2 linked regions of the Styela clava genome follow. The protein of the gene in region 1 interacts with the protein of each later gene in a pairwise test. Links are inferred from orthologs where the notes say so. Each region holds a gene or a part of one and is shown on either strand. Other genes may lie near its edges.

The links. The genes of interacting proteins can lie anywhere in the genome.
Region 2: the proteins of RAF proto-oncogene serine/threonine-protein kinase-like (region 1) and ras-related protein Rap-1b-like interact in a two-hybrid assay, tested with the Drosophila melanogaster proteins (2 studies listed by BioGRID). The link is inferred for Styela clava from reciprocal best matches to the Drosophila melanogaster genes Raf and Rap1.

Annotation. Positions count from the first base shown.
Region 1 is NC_135256.1:7,211,605-7,218,497, reverse strand, and holds the start of RAF proto-oncogene serine/threonine-protein kinase-like, read left to right. Parts: upstream 1-3,871; 5' UTR 3,872-3,971; coding exon 3,972-4,067; intron 4,068-4,606; coding exon 4,607-4,708; intron 4,709-5,699; coding exon 5,700-5,787; intron 5,788-6,106; coding exon 6,107-6,205; intron 6,206-6,893.
Region 2 is NC_135258.1:19,422,277-19,429,773, forward strand, and holds the start of ras-related protein Rap-1b-like, read right to left. Parts: upstream 3,032-7,497; 5' UTR 2,876-3,031; intron 2,135-2,875; 5' UTR 2,113-2,134; coding exon 2,056-2,112; intron 1,695-2,055; coding exon 1,626-1,694; intron 955-1,625; coding exon 898-954; intron 1-897. UniProt on the Drosophila melanogaster protein: Ras proteins bind GDP/GTP and possess intrinsic GTPase activity. Plays a role in photoreceptor cell determination.

The DNA.
Region 1 (6,893 bases):
GGTTGGATTAACGAGGAAACGTTTGTCAACTATCTCTATCACTTCATTAAGCATACACGCTGTGTACCCGACCGAAAGGTATTGCTCATCTTAGACAATCACGAGTCCCACGTTTCACTAAAAGCTGTTGACAAGGCGAAGACGAGCAGAGTTGTGGTGTTGACCATTCCTACATACACGTCCCACAAACTCCAGCCTTTAGACAAGACTGTTTATGAACCATACAAAAGCGACTACGCGCGCGCGATGAATAATTGGATGAGGTCCAATCCGGGTAAGACTGTGTCTATACACGATATTGCTCATTTGGTGAACGAAGCTCCCATCTGCGCTTTTGTACTGCGTAATATCCTAGCTGGCTTTCACAGCACTGGAATTATGCCTTTCAACAGCGACGTATTCTTGGATGAAGAATATGCCTCATCTTCAGTTACAGAACGCGAGTTTGCTCGGCAGTAGACAATGTTGAAAATGCGTCAGGTTTACAGAGTAATCCTGATACTCCCACGTACCAAAAAGATAACACAATTCAATCAAGCTGGCGTTGAGACCAATATTGGCTTGACTGGAGCAGAGCAGACTAGCAACGCAGAGACTTTTTATGTGTTTCCAGGTGATAAAAATACTACCTTTACCCAATGCAGGACTAAGGAAGGTGAAAGCTTCCAATAGGAAAAAAAGGAAGCTCGGAAATTTTGACAGACACACCAGTTAGAAATGAAATAGCAGCAAATCAGTGGCTAGATTAGAATAAAATAGAGCAAAGAACTACGGTCGGGTTAAAAAATGCTCTTTGCAAACAAGGAAACAGTTAGAGTGAGGGTAGCACCATCCGGATGCACCACTTCGAGCTAAAGTGAATCTGACGGGAATGTATTGTGCGATGATACTGATGACACAGGAGAAGAAAATCAAAATATTATTGAAGGCGATTTTGTCATAGTCAAGATAAGTGGAAAATCTCGAATTGTTCAATACGTCGCAAGAGTTGATGCTTTTGAAGGAGTGTTTCTCCGCCTGGTTTTAAGCGTAAATGACGGAACTACCTTTATTCTGGATGTCGAAGATGAAGCACTTTGGTCGAAGAAAGACATCGCAAGAAAATTAGCCATCCCCAGCATTATTGGAACTTCACACGTCGTTCACGTTCTCATTGAGGATATATAACTAATTGTATAAAAAATGGCTCATCTCTCCCGCATCTCCCCTACTCTGCGTGGGTTCGCAGGTTCGAAGCCCATTCAGGGATAGTTATGTGCGAGAGGATTGCTGGACTCCTCGCTGCCGTAGGGTGGTTCACGTAACCGCGTACGGCTTCCCCGACCATCAATTCTATGCTTCCAGAAACAATTAACTAACTAATTCTATACCCGACATGAAATGGTAACCGGACGAGAGGCCGTGGTTCGCCATGTGGTTAAGCGTAAATATATACTACTACGGGTTAAGCCATATTATCGACTTTCCCTTCCCCGGGATAAATATGTAAATCCTAATCCTTGGTAGAGATGTATGTCGCACATCTGTGTCTTGGGCCAGTAAGGGTTTTAACATGTATCCCGTATTTTTTACGCTGTTTAATTGATATGCAGATACTGTTACATTTTGAGGCAAATAAACATACATACTTATTATTTGGGTATCTCAAATCCGGTTCAACGAACCGGTTCTCCTCTGTCTGATCCAATGACTCTCCCTTACTTTCGGCAGGTTTATCTGTTGGTTTACTGGTTTATTGTCCTCGCTTTCCCGACTGAGCTACCCGAATACTTTTGAGTTGATGCTTTGTACAGCTTTACAGGCTCTATGGAATTCTATCATTTCAGTTGAACCAATGGACTTTTGGAACAACGCCAGAGTACCGGTACGGTACCGCTACCGGAGCTGACACAGACACGTAAGTTAAATTCAAAGTTACCGGTACCGTACCCTGTACCGGTACTTGTTTGGCTGTACGGTACGGCGTTATCCTGTTATTCCTGTACGCTGGTACCATTCTGGTGTTGTGATATCATTTTTATGAAATTGCAGTACTGCAGTACGTATTTTAGTTCAGTTTTATTTTCACTTTATTCCTTCAGAACTTTGAGATACGATTGGTTACCGGTACCGTATCTTTTGTCTCAATGTTTATTTTACAGATTGGTAGTAGTCTAAATTCTGAAATTGTATACCGTAGCTTAGATGGTGTTTCTGTGTAGTTTTATCTATTTATTTCCCAGATAATAAATTATGGATTCAGAATAGTTTGTGATCATCAGAAAGGGCACAGTTCTCCAATTCTAAGATGTCCCGACATTTGGTTTAATGAAACAAACACACTATTTGTCTCTTAAACGAGGGCGTCTGGCCCGACGGCGGATGCGTCAGATTGTGCCATGCTTGTCTCAATAATAATCTAAATTAGTCGCAGTAGTCACAGGACCTGAAAACTTTCAAATGCTACGTTAAAAAAATTCTCCTCCATTGAATTGGATCCTTTTTTTATGAAGAATCTAATAATTTTAAATTGCGCTTCCTGTTAGTTTATTGCAAAAGGCTGGTTTGTCGATTTATGTCAATATGGTGGCCTAGATGGTCTTGTAAAGGAGTGGTTTTCACTCACTGTTATAATTGATGGAAGGAAGCTTCAGCATAAAAGCCGACAGCAAGCACAGAATAAAAGATAATTCATATTACAGTATTACTGACTGTGGGACTTTTCTTTGAAAAAATAACCCGATTTACCTAAGGAAAAAATTTTTTACCGTGGCATTTGAGAGTTTTTAAGAAAAAACACCAATTTTGATCACATGATGGCCACGGTTAATTAGATTATTATTGAGACAAGCATGGCGCAATATGACTCATCTGCCGTCGTGCCAGACGCCCCTCATTTGTGAGACACTTGGAGTGTTTGTTTTATTGAACTAAATGGAGGGAAACTCTTGGAATTTGGATAGTGTGCCAGACTGTACTGCTGTACAACGAACCGATTGTCCTCTGTTCGATCTTATAAGAGGGTAATGAGCTGAAACACAGCATATTGTTAGAGTACAAGCATAATATATCTTTGCACCTGCTTCTGAATGACATCTTTCAGCTTAAAGAAGCGGGGCTTTCTAACTCCATTTTTATCGCTATTCAAATATTATTTCATATTCTTTCATTTTCTTATCACTATAATTTACAAAGAACATGCGATTTTGAAGTGCTTGGTAACAACTGTTTAAAGTTGTATTGAATCTAATTAGTCTGTAATATATCATTAACTGTGTCCCCCCAAGGTGTGTCAAATTGTCGCAGCAGATAGATTTTTTATGGGCTCTGAAATGCCAGACTGTAAACGCTAGACTGTTGTGCAACTGCAAGTACACTATTCCAGTTGTTGACTTTGAGCGCGTGTGTAATGTTAACTCTTGGATGTGGCAAATTGATTTATTTGCACTGGGTAAGGGAAATGTCAGTCTATACATTGTGTGAAAATTGTGAGGGGAGCACTGCTAGTTCAAGAAGTTGCTCACAAACTTGGTAAATCAAAGAACAAACAATATTAAGCCATATGCCCTTTGTTTTATGCTTGTTAGCAGAAAATATAATATTGTCATTTTAGTTTATCGATGTTAGTATCACCAGTGTTAAAAAAATCACAGATTCAGTGGTGATTCACTGCTCAGTGCCATTGCCCAACTCATTGAATGACTCGCATTGTCATTTCAACGATTTCCCTTTTTCTACCCCAATTTATCTTATCATATAATTTGTAACAATTTTGTTTTTTTGAAGCAATCCTTTTGAATAAAAACATTACACTAGCATAAAACTATACGAGCATGTGTACCAGGAGCTCATAGATGACTATAAAACACTAATATAAACCTTGCTATGACAGATGAAATATTACTAAATTAACCAATCAACTGATTAATAATGAAAAGTTATGTTTGAATATTTGATGACATATCACTGAACAGCACACTAGTAAATGCTGTATGGTTGGATCTTCTAAAAGAATGTCAACCATGACTCAACCTCTCTTTTCATCAGAGGGGAGGAGATCAAGTGACATCAGGAAGATACAGGAAGATGTGAGTGCATTGTTTAATATAGATCTGAAATATGTAATCGAAATTCTGTGTTGTATTCTGAATCCCAAAATGTGGCAGTTTATTTTGTATTCATGAAGGTTTGTTACATATTTCATATCTGGCTAACAATAAAATTAAAAGCCTTGTTTATGTTTCAACTTATCTTTGTCATATTTGCTGTTGTTCAAGAATGATTTGTGCCTAATTATTTTCCTCTTGTATTTTTACATTATCCTCCACAGACTTAAAAAGTGCATTTTTAAAATTTCATAAAAATGCAAGTGACCAAAATGCAGACAATGTCATACCAATATCACTTTTTATTTTACAAAATAACTGTTTTTTAACTGAGTTTTTTTATATAATATCAATCAGAACAATTTTTCAGGAAACTATGAATTTTTGAATCCGAATTCTACCCAATTTTCACTGACAAGTCCACTGACAATACTGGTTCCTCAGATGCCAAGAAGTTCGCTAGCCGTCCTCTAACAATATTTTGAGTGTAATGACTAATGATTCATATAATGATATTTCAGCTTCAAAATTTGAATGAAGTAATCAGATTGACCAAAGATTCCATTATCCGACTGAATGATAAATTTGGTGGAAATACGAACCCTCCGCCTATTTATCTTGAAGTAAGTATTCTCATTGATCATTGGTTGTGTATCTTTATGGTGGTTAGGCAAGCTGTTCTCATATTTCAGGATTTATCAAAATATCTGGTTTTTTGAACGAAGACTATTCTCCTTTTTATTCTTTGTAACGGCTTGAAGTTCAAAAGCCTCAGCAAGTACAATGAAATTGGTTTTGCAATAGATTTATTGGAACAGCTATGCTGGCTTCATTGTGGTTTCTGAAACTAATTTTGAATAGAAACCATAACCTGGTATCCAATCCAAATATCCAATCCAATCCAATCAGGCATAAATGAAGTAGATCAATCCCTTAATTAAGCAATAACTTTTTTTTAAAAAGCCAAGTTGAATTAAATTCATATTATGGTGTTTTTCATCAGTGTTCGCACTGACTAACATTTGCAAATGATGCCTGCAAAGATGAGAATCTATTTAAGGCTACTTATTATCTCTATCTTGATTTGCTGGATTTCAACCATGCATTAATTATTGATATGCAATGTAATTTGCTGTAGATGAAGTGGTTTGATTAATATCATGCCTGGGGTGTAGATAAAATAACTTCTGCCAGATACATCTTTACAAAAATCAATCTTTGTTTTACATAAACTTAATCTTCTCCCTCCTTCCAGAGGGAGCAGAATTTGAATGTCTTTTATTATTCCCTGTTCTAAATTTATATTTGCTATCTCTGATCAACGAAGCCTTTGTGTCAATATTATTGTTTTTGCAACTTTTTTCACTATATAAACGCCATGCTTTAATTTGACCTGTTATACTAAATATATCATGTGAAAATAGTGCATTTTAGTTATCAATATCTTGCTCAGGATTGGATGCAAGTATATTACTTCCTACATAACCAAAAATCATTGATATCAATGAATTCTTGTGAAAAGCGCAAAATTTTCCATAGTTTTATTTTTATGCTCATTTACCAGTGAGGTATATTACTGAGTGTAACTACCGTGAATTTCTTTTCTTATTCCAGGAATATCGTGAGTTAACGGACAAACTCGGGGATCTTCAAACAAGGCACCATAATCTCACTGATGTTTTGGAACAACAATTATTACAAGGTAAACAATATTTCATATATTCAGATTTCGAGTTTGGAGCGAAGATAACTAAAGCCAATTTTTCAACTTTCCTGTATTCATTTCAGAGAAAATCTACACAATAAGTATACTGTCTGCTGCTATATGTTAATATTTTTGTTTCAATGTAATCCAGTTTCATGCATGGATGCTATTTTCTATTTTCATGTTGTATTTTCAGTCAATTATTAGCATAAGTTTATGATATTTTATTCGGCAATTCAATAGAATTAATGATTTATTGATATTTGATTCTAGAGCAGTGTAAAACTATTTTAATTGGAATGTAAATGTTTTACAGGATCACAAACTAACTCATTTTCACAAGAACCATCCGGGGTGCAAACACTACCGGGCAACAGAATATTTTTCCCACCTGGTCCACAGTACGTTGGCACTGGTAAGTCGTTAATTTTAAATAGACATTTTGGATATAAATTGGATCTCACTGTAATTCTAGAAACTTGTATTCTAGGGTGTATATATGCAGATATTTATTGTGACTCAATTACAATGACTCTAACGTAAAACGTTAGTACTCCCGTAGTGTGTGTACCAGGTTAGGGTTGGGCCATAATTTTATTCAGATTTTTCTTCTAGAAACTTGTAATCTAGGGTGTATATATGCAGATATTTATTGTGACTCAATTACAATGACTCTAACGTAAAACGTTAGTACTCCCGTAGTGTGTGTACCAGGTTAGGGTTGGGCCATAATTTTATTCAGATTTTTCTTTTTTAAGTTCTATTACAAGTTCCGGGACTGTCTGTGTTAGCCAAGTGAATATACCCCCTGCCCATCGGCTTCCATTCCTTTACCCAACTTTATGTAAAGTAGACAAACAAAATTAGTTACCTTCATATTGGTACACATACTTCTGAAGCGTCAACTTTGGCGAACCATGATATTTTAAATTTCATTTAGATAAATACGAAAGTTTGGATATGATGATTGAGTTGAACATAAATAAATTTGTTTCATTGTTAAAACTGTAAAACTAATATTATTACCTCCTATTTCTAGTTAATGGAAGGAATCACTACCCCCTTAGTGGTTTAGGAATTTTTTTCAATGAATTTCCCTGTTG
Region 2 (7,497 bases), on another chromosome or scaffold:
GCCCTGATACTACTAGATGTCGGTGCTAATATACTGATATATTTCGCAACAGTGCTGAATTAAAATATCAAATTTGATGAGTTTTAACATTACATAAACGATTGAATATGCCTACTAGGTGACAACAGTTCACACTCCATTTTGGGTCATAAATAAAATTACATCATATTGAATTGACAAGGAAAAATGCATATGTATGTAATCAAAACTTATTCGTCTTCTAAACTAAGAGGCACAGCAATGCGAAAGCTTGGCTTGTTTGACTGCTGATAAAACAATAAGGAACAAAATTCTTATGAAATCTACTCCGAAAGAATTTGTATAACCTAATAAAATGTGTTTGAATGTAAGAGGATATTTATTAAATTTCACCAGGAAATAGAGAAGTTTTGACTTCCCATAAGGTCATAGCAATCCTATTTTCCATTTGAGACAATCAATCAAGCTTAGACACACAAAAACCAGTCATATATCCATAATGAAAGTTTGACGACTGCACAAAAGATTAAAGAAAGCAATAGAACCTGTATTTTGATTAGAAGGCATTGGAACCACACGATATAATTACTGACAATTTCACTGTTTTGGTTGGAATGACAACGTGTGACTGTTGACTCAAGCACAAACTGCGTTGATGGCAACGTACTGAGATAATACACTTTGCAAATAAAGAGGTATTATAATTACACGTTTTCCATACACCTTGAATTTTTTCAATATTGACACAGATGGAAAGATAATAAAAAGACAAGCTAGGCTGTTAAGTGCAGTTTGAAGTATATAAGACTTAATAAAATATAATAATCATTCAGAATAAAAGCTGTTTAAGGACCATCAACTTATAATTTCACTAGCTTTGAAACCAAGAATTCAAGAGAAAGAAAAAACAAATCATACCGTCCCTGCCGTGTCCAGGATTTCTAACATACATTGCTGGTTATCTGTTTCAACTTGCTGTAATACACAAAAGTAGACAGTGAAAATATATTATAAACAATATTACTTGAAAAGATCATCAGTACTAAATTTCTCGGACAGAAACCACTTCTTCCTTGCACAGCTAAGAATAGTTATGTTTGAAATAGATCTACTGGTAGAAAAATCTTGATACAATACCCCGGAAAAGACAAACTCGACAGAAATAATGATAATTTTCACTATCCAAACAACCATACCATAAGTTCATGGTATCATATCGTAACTAAGAAGGTTCTGTACCATGATGTTCATATAAACAGGCTGTTTATATATACCGATGTACATTAAATATACCCTCGATTACATAGGTAATATATTTAATCAATTTCTTTGCTTCCACAAACCATTTTTTAACATATATACGATAACTGTAACTATATAAAATCAATAAATAATAAGGTATACGCCCATCAACATACATTCTGAAATAAGCCTGAACATGACTACAGCCAAATTAGTTATGTAGTTGTAAAGACTTAAATTTTGTGAACATTGGTTAAAGCACAATTCAACATTTGAGTATTTTAAATTACAGACATATTCTTACTGTGTGCATTAATGTTTTTTCATTAATCAATGGTCATCAATTACTGATAATGCTATTAATATCAAGCCACTAATTAAAAAAAATCAATGGAAAAGCAAACCTTTCTATAGCTATCTTCTATTGTAGGATCATATTTTTCAACAAATATTCCTTGTACGAATTGCACTGTCTGTGAAAAACAACTCAATTATTGAATGCTCGGCATGAGGAAACTTGACAAAATTTATTGAATAGCCACAAAACATTACGCAGATAGATACCATTTGGGAATGATTAACAAACTTTTTCACATTTCAAGAATCGCCCACATTTAAATTTCATTGATATGTTTCAGATCCAAAAAATTGGCCGAGCAAGAATTTCTTTATATATGTCTTGTCTTGAGTCTTGACTAACCAAAATATATATATTCAAATAAATACTGACTTGATTATGAAAAATGAAATAAATTTTGAGAGTTCTATCAATTTAAATACCATAATTTTAATCCATTGTCAAGGACTACAGAAGGAATTCAGGCTAACACTTACCAATGCACTTTTCCCAACACCTCCAGAACCGAGCACAACCAACTTGTACTCTCGCATCCTTCCAGTTGGTGTGATCTACCTAAAAGAATTTGAAAAATTTACTTAATAATAATAATAACAGCTTATGATAACTAGTGGAAGGAAGCATTCTTTTCATTAGTAAAAAAAAACATTTAAAGAAGATTAATATGTCTGCCGTTCATTGAACAAAAGAACAGGATGAACTATCTGATTTTGAATTAGACTGAGGTCTGAGATGACAATTAGTCACGCTTTGGTTCAGCCAAATATTTGAAACATTTAGATACGAATAGAATACTTGAAAATTTACAAGGATAGGCAGACATACACCACACAAATTTATGTAATAACACAATTACGATTTATTTTTATAACAAAGCAATATAGAACAGGGCTACTAGGATGCAGAACTCAGTGGATTAGAATTTATCATTAGCCAACATAAATCGGTACGCCCATAGTATGCGAACGAAGTTAGGGTTAGGCCATAATTTTCTTTCAATTTTCCTTATTTTACATCTATTACAAGTACAGGGACTGTTTTTGTTAGCCAAGTGAATATACTGCCTGCCCATAGGCTTCAGTCCCTTTACACAACTTGATTCATCAAGACTATATTCAAGAAGATTAAATTATTACACTTGCTACACTTGGGTCAACATAGCTATCTCAAACTTGGCTTCATATCCAATTTCAACTTAGATGAATTCGGTTTTTTGACTGAGAATTATGAACAAAATTTCAACAGAACGTAAATTTATAATGAGTTGGACAAAAAAAATGTATCGAAAAAGCTTACCTTACACAGTGCAGCAAGTGGGCAACAGAAAACACAATTTCCACAAGAAGTTTTATATCCACCAAGTACGAATATACCAAGATATTTTATATAATGCTCTACTTGAGTACTTATACAACTTGAAACCTGAATCTTTTATAAGAAATAAATATTTCATTAGAAAATGAATAAGGAAGAAAACACAAGAAATAATTTCTGAGTATCAGAATAAGGTTCACATCCTCACAGGAATACTATCAAATAAAATAACTATTAGTCTACAAATCTCAGATGATAAGACAGTAACTTTTTAAACCAAAATATATTAATTCTGTGATAAGCCAATACACCAGTTTTTAAAAATGAAAACGATATCTCTGAAAATTGTACCAGTATTCAGTAAGAGAATTCTATAATTTGTTGTTTGAGTGTGAATGTATGGATGGCAATTGGTAACCACATAAAAGTTTTTTAAAATGAAATTTCTTGTTTCAGCATTACTGTATTTTATTTACCGTAATTGTTTTAAGCCTTTTGCAAATCTAAGAAAAAGGTGAAAAAACCACTGCCTCCCAGGTTAATAAATAAAATGAGGCAATGAAACAAGAATAACAGTGGGCCAAATATTTGTATTTCTGTATCCCAAATTATGTACTTTGACCTTTTGGGGATGAAGGGCCACATAATATTCCATTTCATACTGACCATAGCATACCAGTATAACTTATAATTACAGGAACACAATAACAACACATGTCTGAAAATCACTGTAGCATGTTGTCTCAACAATACTGTGAAGTGCCTAGAATGACGCCGGGTCATGGTTTTGTCGTGACAAGAACCCTTGAATTGCAAACAGGCAAGAATTGCCACATTACACTCTCTCTACAGGAAAAAGTGATTCCGAGCATTAGATGATTAACATCCAGTAGTCGCCACATTTTTCAAAAAGGAAACATTAGAATGGAATTTGAATGTTCGTTTTAGTTCAGAATAACTTAACCTAGTATTTCCACTTTCTGGTCTATGAAACATTTTTTTTAAATTATCTCTCCGACTGAAGATAACTTGGAATAACCACAATTATGTAATGCATCATCATAAAATAAAACCCATGTTTTCATTACTGTAATAATGACTCACATCTCAACATTTATGCTATTGGATCATTAAAATACATTTATTTTCTTTACAATTTTACATGCTTTTGTACAGGGTGATCAGACCAAGTGTAGACAAATGTTTATTAAAATATCTACAATATGAATGTGAGAGAGAAAAAAATATTTTGCAGAAAATAGCATAATAATAAAAATAATAGAATTTATTGTTATTTTCCGAAATATCCTTCCTTTGCCTTCACACATCGATCTGATTAGAACTTGACTACACGAGGCACGTATGGCTTCTTCTAAAATTTTGTCCAAACAAGTTATCAATCTATGCCTTAGAGCAGTTGTTCTCAATCTGAGTTACGCACACCACTACTGATACACAGGACCTCTTCGAGTGGTTCAAAAGCAGCTTTGAATTATTGCAACAATCAACTTTTGTATTCGCTAAACGGCGTTTATAGCGCTACTAGTTCTTGTCTTTTATTGCTCTCGCCAGTAACTCTCCACCTAAAACAAAACGGGCATGTTTTTGTCATTTTGCGCGTTACTCCACAATACATCTTATCCTCGGACAAATACACTTTGATCAGTGTAAGCCGCTATCACGAACGCTCCCTTATTTGCTGATTTATTATTGTAGATTTATATTATAGATATTTTATTAAACATTTGTCTACACTTGGTCTGATAACCCTGTATTTGGCATCATGTACCAAAGTTAGTGTATGATTTATACGACATAGACTAGGAGTTGGCAAACTTATGTACTACTGGGCCAAATATGAACATTTCGGGTGACCTACGGGCCACATTAATTTCAGATTATGAACAATCACCTTATTGAACCTTTGAATGATGGCTGTACTGAAGTATATTCGGCCGTTTCTCAGCAATAAAATTAGCTGGTCACTTTGTTGACGATATCAGCAGTACATAAGTGCAATGCTGGTTTGGCACATCAAGCAAAAAGGATTTGACTAATGCTTAATAACGAAATGTTTTGCTGTCTAAGCTCTTTGAAATGGTTGAGAACGCAAGTTAACAACATACCAATAACACAATTGTGCCTTTCAACTTTTTCACGCATTGAAAATGAGGTCGTCAGAAGGCCACAAATTTTTTTTTGCTTTTGGCCCATGGCCTGCAGTTTGCCAATCGCTTCCCTAGACGCTTTGATCAATTCCAATCTGATCAACCCAAATCTTTCTCCAACCTATCTCCATGATCCCAACTCCCAGCTTGTACATCCTATTATTATTGAGAGGCACATATTACTGTATTACAGTATCTATATACAGCTCAAAGTTTTATTGGGTTTATTACTTATTATTATTACTTTATTGGGTTTATTACTTATCGATCTTGATCGGTAAGTATGTTGATAGGTATTTGTTTGTTTGTTTCTCTGTTAGATACAATCACGCTATTTCACGAAAGTGAGGTTGAATCTGTTCCAAATTTTGCATGTGCATTCATCATATTTCGGACCAGAAGCCTATTGATTTTGGATGAATTATGTTGTATAATTAGCGAGGTATTAATTGATTAATTAGTGATGGGACACGCAATGTCACTATGGAGTCAAAGCAAATGAATCGAAACCTCAGTTTCTGTTTTGGGGGATCCACTAACTTTCGATCGATAAGTCTTTGGTCTCTGACTGATATTCTCGTTATTGGGTCTTACTACTTACTGAATACAGCGTGAAACACCGCAAATAGCGCGAAACAGTGCAAAATAGCGCGAAACAGCGCAAAAGAGAGGAAAACAGCGCAAAAGAGAGGGGAACAGCGCGAAACAGAAGGAAACCAGCGCAAAACAGAGGGAAACAGCGCAAAACAGGAGACGCAGTCATTACCACCTCTTGCCACGAAAGAACCACGGCGCCATTTCCGGTATATTTACAAGGTTATGTACCGGATTATACGGTAGGTCATCATGCGAAATTTTATCTACCTTTTTGGTGCTCCAGAAGTATGTGCAGCAATATGTCGCACAACCTGAATCCGATACACACACACACACATACTATTTTCAGGTTGTGCGCCATCTTGGTGCACATACTTCTGGAGGTCCCATTTTACCTAACCCTAACCCTAAAGCCAACCATATCCATATGGAAAATGTTCTAAATTATGGTACCCAAAATGTGTCACCAGCAGGGGCAGACCTGCCATTACAGCATTACTGGCTACATACGTTGGTTTGTGTTTTTAATTTGCTGCCGTGGTACTCCAACTCAAAACAAGGTGTCCCGAACTCATTGCAAAAATTTTTTCTGCTTAACATTGTTTCCCTCTGTTTTGCGCTCTTTCGCGCTGTTTCCACAGTGTTTTGCGCTGTTTCCCTCTGTTTTGCGCTGTATTCAGTAAGTAGTAAGACCGCTCGTTATTATATGTTGTGTGGACTAATTTTTGTAACTTTATATCTCTAGCATTGAATCCAGATCATACCTGGAACAAACAGTTCTGACAATTGGTTAACTAATCCCATACACAATTTGATCTATATTCTGATGGGAATCTGACATATGATTTAGCAGTGGCTAATAGATCTGTAGATGGATAATGCAGAATTCAAAATAACCGTCCGGCTGCTGTCTGGTTGCTGGGTTGTGGTATGTTTAGTGGCAAAAACTAGTGTCAACTTGTCTATAATTAAAAATACCATGATAGTCCATTGTAAAAACAGTACATTTTACAGTTGAATAATTTATCAATATCAATTTTTACATTATTTACAAAAACAGTATTACAGCAACAGCAAACTGCAGAGCGTTGTGATATTTGCTGTGTTTTCACTAACTCCGTAACTGCAGAACTGACCTAGCAGTGCATCAGTCAGTCAGTAAGACCAAGTTGGCACATTAGTGAAAGTCTGAATGCAGGAATGTACATTCCAGCATTCTGACATTACAACGAATGGCTTACAGAACTGCAGAAGTTCCAGACTACAAGTGAAGTATTTCATTGAAATGGAACATAAGAACAGAACAACGACTAACAAAAGCATATTAAGCAAAGAAATGGGTAGATAGATAAGTATTTTGAAAACTCCTTAATACACGCAAATTCAACTGATTTCAGGATTTATACATTTTTTGTAAAACGAATCAATTCTGCGTCTGATACCAGAATGCATTTATGATACCAGATGTTAAAAATAAAGAATCATGTTGCCTCTTTTCTGTTGGAACTTTTAAGCTTCCGAGCTTGCTCTAATTTTACTGTTTTACAGTTTTATGATTGTCTGATTGTGATACTGTGATAACGAAATCATGAATAATAATATAAAATACTTCACTTTCATTGTAATACCAAAATAAGTTATCCATATCGCTGTATCGTGGATCCAAATATCTGTTCCTAAATGTCTGTACACCGCTACTGCCGCTAACCAAATTACTTCCACTAAATAGGCCTACAGAAATCTGGAAATTTAATGAAATTCTGAAATTACTGAATTAATGTTAATTTAAACGTTTTAGGCTATGTAATAATTATACATTATTTTATAGCATCGTGTAGT